Canis lupus familiaris: one gene and its partner. Each later gene encodes a partner of the first gene's protein in a complex. Links are inferred from orthologs where the notes say so. Each region holds a gene or a part of one and is shown on either strand. Other genes may lie near its edges.

The links.
Region 2: the proteins of ABCC9 (region 1) and KCNJ8 are in contact, whole or in part, in a cryo-EM structure (PDB 7MIT), measured with the Rattus norvegicus proteins. The link is inferred for Canis lupus familiaris from reciprocal best matches to the Homo sapiens genes ABCC9 and KCNJ8. Residues at the interface, in XP_038963045.1 of Rattus norvegicus: Phe5, Ile10, Tyr13, Asn14, Ile15, Val19, Asn22, Cys24, Phe25, Ala28, Leu29, Val32, Val35, Phe36, Phe39, Phe42, Pro43, Ile44, Phe46, Ile47, Gly48, Trp49, Gly50, Ser51, Lys55, Gln57, Ile58, Asn129, Phe130, Lys132; in NP_058795.3 of Rattus norvegicus: Met1, Leu2, Lys5, Ile7, Ile8, Pro9, Glu11, Tyr12, Val13, Leu14, Ala15, Arg16, Ile17, Ala19, Glu20, Asn21, Leu22, Leu45, Ala46, His47, Lys48, Asn49, Gly54, Arg55, Phe56, Leu57, Asp59, Ile60, Thr62, Thr63.

Annotation. Positions count from the first base shown.
Region 1 is NC_049248.1:21,323,021-21,326,850, reverse strand, and holds part of ABCC9 (ATP-binding cassette sub-family C member 9), read left to right. Parts: intron 1-1,262; exon of another isoform or gene 1,263-1,323; intron 1,324-2,632; 5' UTR 2,633-2,652; coding exon 2,653-2,794; intron 2,795-3,830. UniProt on the Homo sapiens protein: Subunit of ATP-sensitive potassium channels (KATP). Can form cardiac and smooth muscle-type KATP channels with KCNJ11. KCNJ11 forms the channel pore while ABCC9 is required for activation and regulation.
Region 2 is NC_049248.1:21,155,132-21,157,805, reverse strand, and holds the end of KCNJ8 (ATP-sensitive inward rectifier potassium channel 8), read left to right. Parts: intron 1-317; coding exon 318-1,218; 3' UTR 1,219-1,959; downstream 1,960-2,674. UniProt on the Homo sapiens protein: Inward rectifier potassium channels are characterized by a greater tendency to allow potassium to flow into the cell rather than out of it.

The DNA of each region.
Region 1 (3,830 bases):
GCCCCAGGGCATATCTTAGAGATAGTGGTAGAAGGAAGAAATTCTGAAGCTTTCACTTTATTCATCTGAAGTGTATACCTTAGTGTGATTATATCATTTATATTTCCCTGTCTAGTAGATCATAACCTTTACATTATACCAAAACTATTGGAATTAGTGTAGTCCGATTTATGCGGCCTAAGACCACAGCTACTATTGGTCACGTACATTCTTAGATTCCTAGTGCCTAGCACATGGTCAGCATCAACAAGTATTTTTAGAGTTAACGAATGGCCTAGAATCCCAGATAATCAGGTACATGGCTAGAAATGTTCTTTGACTTTCTCAGGTTGCTGTAGTTCTCTGCTATTTTCTTTCCACCACTATATGCGTTTATCCAACATTTACTTGATTGGTAGGTTTGAGGATTGCTTAAATATACCAGGTAGGCAATGCTTATTATAGCTAATGAAGTATATGTTTTACAAATTCAGATATTACTTTAGTATTTGGCTCAATGACAGTGACTAAATATCAGTATTTATAAATGTGGCCAATTGAAATATTATAATTTCGGATAAAATTATAAAACTGGCAAAAGTAAAAATTATTTTCTGGTCCATTCTAGGAAACGGTTTACACATGTCTTTCAATAAGTGTGGACTCAAGTTTCTTTTAGTCATTTCTTCTTAATAAAAGAGATAGTCTAAAAAAGTGAAAGAAAAGAAATAGTCTTCGAAGTTTCATTACTAGCTATTATTTTTCAGCTTCTGGGGTTCCCCCCCATTTGTTTTCCTGATGTACATTTCTGTACAAGATTAAGGTGTACAGCATGATGGTTTAATTTAGTATTGTGAAATGATTACCACTGTAGGTTTAGTTAAGATCTATCACTGTAGCTACAGTATATAATACAAAATTCCACTTTACTGTTATTTTAAAAATCTCAAGCCCTTTTAAATTATTTTATGAGGCTGGGAGGCTTAATAGCTGCTAAGAATTTGCCAAGCATATACCCTCATCTTGAGTTTTTTTAATATAATTTTTTAAATTAGAAAAGGTCTCAACTAGAGATCATATCAATGATGTTCAATAAAAGGGCTTACCAGAAACAATATGTGAAAGGAATTCAAAATAAGAATTTATATACTGTAAACACAGGCTTTTAAACTAGTTCTATTCATAGAATGCTTTATAAAACTTCTGCTTGAAATTTGGTTTCTCCGATAGCTTACCTACTGTTGCCAATCTTTTCTGTGTAACACTCTTTGGTTTCTTCCTAGGGAACAATATTGTTCATGACCATTGCTAAATCATTTCTCAATGAAAGGGAAGAGAGAAAAGGTACTACTTTACTTATTTATACCTTTGCCAACCTTTCATAATCCAATTCAGAATCCAGTGTGACATAAATGTGGAAAAGAAACAAAGTCCAATGAGGTTAAAAATCTTAACCTGCTACTTCTTTTAATGACAATAGATGAGATGTTATTTAAAAATAGGTTGGAGGCTGCATGATGCAGTGGGAGAAACAGTTTAAGTCAGACACATGCGTGTAGATCACCGCTACTCTACTGGTTGGCAAGTTACTGAGGCTCTTCTGTAAAACACAAATAACTAACATTGCATGGTTGTCCTAAAGACAAAGTGCCCAGAATTTGGGAGGTGGTAAATAAATAGGAGGAATTATAAAAGAATTTTTCAGAAGGCTTAAAACTCTTCAGAATTTCACAGTGGTATTTTGATGGAGCAGATTCCTTGCTCCTGTATCACCTGTTTTGGTGCAGCAACAGGAGGAATTCATTTAAAATGTGAGTAGCAGTGTGTCATTCCTCTGATCAAATCACCCCTCAAAGAGTCCACTTCATTGAGTAGAAGCCCAAGTCACAACAATGGCTAGCAAAACCCTGGGATACCTTGTCCTCAGTTTCCTCTCTAAATTTGTCTACTTCTCCTCTACTATAATATTGGTTTCCAGTTAAAAGACTTTTTTCTTGCTTCAAAACTTGATTAGAGTACATTTCATGTAAGAATGTTCTCTGATTGTGGGACGTGATTTCATTAATTGAGTTATTTTTCTCAAGCACTTGATTTTATATCTGAAGCACTTGATTTTAATATTCTTCAGAGAAAGGCTGACTTCTGTTTGCTGCCACATTGGTTTCATATATTAGTATTCCTTTGTATAGTTAATGAAAAGTGGTGGTAAATTTTGTCCAGTTTAAGCAGTTTACTAATTCATTTTCAGTGAGAAAAGATGAGCAAGGATTTGATATTACACTATTTTGTGGTATCAGTTAGTGGTTTCACTTATTCTTTCTTTTTCTTGATATATCACCGTTTTTGTTCTGTGAAATCATTTGAGTCACACACACACTTCTTTAAGGTACCATCATTGGTAGATATTAATAATTATATATTTTCCAAATTAAAATAAAATATTTTTCTCTGAAAAAAAAAGATTGAAAGGAAGTGATTTATAGAATGTATAAGGGCTTTATAAGAAACTCTCAAATGACTTTGGCATACAGTTTCATTTCCTCAATTGCAGAAATAAAAGGGGTTAATTTTATAATAACACCTCCTTCTTAGGGCTATGATTTTATGAAAGGGAATTTAATGAGAGGCTCTTTCTTTTTTCTCTTCCTTTTAGAGTAAGCCATATAAGAAGAAATGAGCCTTTCATTCTGTGGTAACAACATTTCTTCATATGATATCTTTGATGGTGTGTTACAAAATCCCTGCTTTGTGGATGCCCTCAACCTGGTCCCTCATGTCTTCCTGTTGTTTATTACTTTTCCAATATTGTTTATTGGTAAGTAATCTATTCTCCTATATATCCTCACCTAATATTTCTTTTAATATTCTTATTAAAAGAATAGTTCCTTTAATATTCTTATTATTTCTTAAGAAATAATGTTCTTTTACCAATTACATGAAAACTGATATGTAAATCTGTGAGAAAAGAACAAGCCAGTTTTCTGTGCTTCTCAATTATTTATGTTCTTGGCATATGACATTCTGTAGATAAAATAGAAGTCATATGTCTTCTTAGAAGTGGACTCCAAGTAGCAGCAGCAGTTTTTTGGAAGGAGGGAAAGAGAGTTATGTGGGATAGACTGAAGTCTTTGTTGAGATTGCTTTGTGTTAGTGAAGAGAATGAAAAATGAGTAAAACACAGTATTGCCTGGGATATTCACTGGAACTATCCAGTGAAACAGATGTATCAAACTCAAGAGAAAAATGACTATCCCGCATTGTAAGCTCATTTGCAGGTACATCTTGGGCATTAACTTGCTAGAACAACTAATTCTTCGGGCCAGTGGGAAAGATTGCATGGAAAGTGACATTTTGGGGGAGCTGAGGACATAGAGCGTGCGAGTAGAAGTAGGAGTAGTAAGGGTGCATTCCAGTTTGAAAGAATACTTACGCAAACTATTTGGAAAAGAGCTAAAAAAATACAATTTTCCTTATTATTTTACAGTTTACAAATCCAGTTATTTAGATTATTGATATATAACTTATTAACTTCCCTGAAACAATCAAAATAGACCTCTTAACTTAGAAATTTTTTAAAAATAGAAGTGCCTGGGTGGCTCAGTCGGTTAAACAACTGCCTTTGGCTCAAGTCATGATCTCAGGGTCCTGGAATAGAGTACCTTCTCAGGCTCCCTGCTCAGCAAAGGAGTCTGCTTCTTCCTCTCCCTCTGCTCCTCCTCTTGTTCATGTGTGCATGCTTTCTCTCTCAAATAAATAAAATCTTTAAAAAATTTTAAAAATACGTTTCACATGTGAAAATGACAGACTAATCTAAACATCTATTGAGCCTATCACCACTCATCTTAAGGAAT
Region 2 (2,674 bases), about 170 kb from region 1:
TATAAATACAAGTATGGGTTTATTATTTTAACTTATTATTTTAATGCTTTCCTATAAGTAGGTCCATCGTTACATGACATAGAAAACAATAGAACCGTTTCCCAGAAGTCTGGAAGTAGACGCATTCCAATGAGAGAGAGATAGAGAGAGAAAGTGCTTGTGTTTAGAATCAGACATTTGACAAGTTAAGTGGCCAAGTCTTTCCAAAAGCATTTAATAGCCTTTGGAGGGAGAAAATGGAAAATTCAGCTTGGCATGTTATTTCATTGTTCAAAATTTGATCTGATGGCACTATTTTTTGATGTCCTTCCTTGCAGATCGTTCACCTCTGCTTTTCTCTTCTCCATTGAAGTTCAAGTGACCATCGGATTTGGAGGGAGAATGATGACAGAGGAATGTCCTCTGGCCATCACAGTTTTGATTCTCCAGAACATTGTGGGTTTGATAATCAATGCAGTCATGTTGGGCTGCATTTTTATGAAAACAGCTCAGGCTCACAGAAGGGCAGAGACCTTGATTTTCAGCCGCCATGCAGTGATTGCTGTCCGAAATGGCAAACTGTGCTTCATGTTCCGTGTGGGGGACCTAAGGAAGAGCATGATCATCAGTGCCTCAGTGCGCATCCAGGTGGTCAAGAAGACAACTACCCCCGAAGGGGAGGTGGTGCCCATTCACCAGCTGGACATTCCTGTTGATAACCCAATTGAGAGTAACAACATTTTTCTGGTGGCCCCTCTGATCATTTGCCATGTGATTGACAAGCGCAGCCCCTTGTACGACATCTCAGCAACTGACCTCGCCAACCAAGACCTAGAGGTCATAGTGATTCTGGAAGGAGTGGTCGAAACTACTGGCATCACCACACAAGCGAGAACCTCCTATATCGCTGAAGAGATCCAATGGGGCCATCGCTTTGTGTCTATTGTAACTGAGGAGGAGGGAGTGTATTCTGTGGATTACTCTAAATTTGGCAACACTGTGAAAGTAGCTGCTCCCAGGTGCAGTGCCCGAGAGCTGGATGAGAAGCCTTCCATCCTGATTCAGACCCTCCAGAAGAGTGAGCTGTCCCATCAAAATTCTCTGAGGAAGCGCAATTCCATGAGGAGAAACAATTCTATGAGGAGAAACAACTCCATCCGAAGGAACAACTCATCCCTCATGGTGCCAAAGGTGCAATTTATGACTCCAGAAGGAAATCAGAACACATCAGAATCATGACAGCAAGACACACCTGGTGGTTTATGCAAAGCACTGTCAGACTGTACTAGAGCGGGAACACAGTAATTTATCCTTCTATCACCAGATGCTCATATTCAAGCAACAGCACTTTCTGTGTCAATAAACAGTAACACACAACATGGAGGATTCATGGCTGACACTTGTTTCATATGTGCAGTATTTGCAGTGATATTCTTCTATTGTGTATAGGAAATAGTATGCTCTTGTTTCTCTCAATTTGAAACCCAAGGATTACAGTAATAGGAATAGACCTTGAGTACAAAAGCTGGCCAAGGAATGACTCTGTGTGAAATGCTTAGTGGTTGAAACCACAGATCTCTCTGTTTCCGTTGGCCCTCTAGAAATGCAGGTAGGATGAGGGGGAACCCTAAAAGTATGCTGTTAACACCTTTTGTATCAGCTAGTATGTAGCCCTCTCTTTTTTTCCAGATACTACATCTGGTAAGAAGCCAGAGGTAAAAACTGCTTATCTCTGGCTGCTTCTAAACAGATTGTGTTCAGTCACTTCTTCACAGTGACCTTTGCAGGTTTCCTCGTCCTCCTAATGGCAGCCTGTTGGCGGAACTGGGCAAAGAGCTTTGGAGAAAGGCTAAGAACATTCCTGTCTCATTTAGGACTGGATTCCCAAAAGTGGCAATTATTTCCTTTGGCTTCTCACTTCTTAAAAGCCCCTACAGGGAAATACTGTATTGAGTATTTTATTAAAATATTTTCTTCGTACTCACTGTAGTTTTGTGATTTCTCTTTCACGAAATTATCCCTATTCAAAGCTCAAGAAAAGAAAAAAAAATTTTAGAGGCATGTGAAAGAGATATACAGTGATAACACCTCTCAGACATTCCTGTCCTTGAAATTGGTTATTCCAAGGGAACTACATTTTTTTTGTTTCATTTTGATTGTATTTCCTTCCAAGATTTGAAATGTTTTCCTAGCTCTTCTATCTGAGCCTGATGTATCATGGAAATCACATAACCTTTTTTCTTTAAATCTCCAACCTCCTATCTTAAAACTATATGCTCTTCCTGAATTCAGGCCTGGCATATATAGCTTTAGCATGATAGCACTTGCTAAAGTGAGATTTTTCTATCAAAACTTGGTTTAATCATCCTTAGCTCTTCTTTCTTCAAAGAAGGGAAGAAGACGCAAAAAGAAGCACTAAGTTGAGAGACTGGGTTTATTCTTCTGTTTCACATAGTTGAACATCAGAAAACTGAGCTCTTATATGGCCTTTTACACAGGTTTGGGGGGTTGTATTCATTTTACTTCATTTATGAACATTTGAAATAGGCAGGTAATCATTAATATATTCAAATCTTATCTTAAACAAATGACTCATGATTCTACCCAGATGAATGGAAATTGTTTCTCGGGTTACTAAGTTAATCATTTCTGAACAATTCTAACCACTCCTTTGAACTCCAGACTCATGTATCAA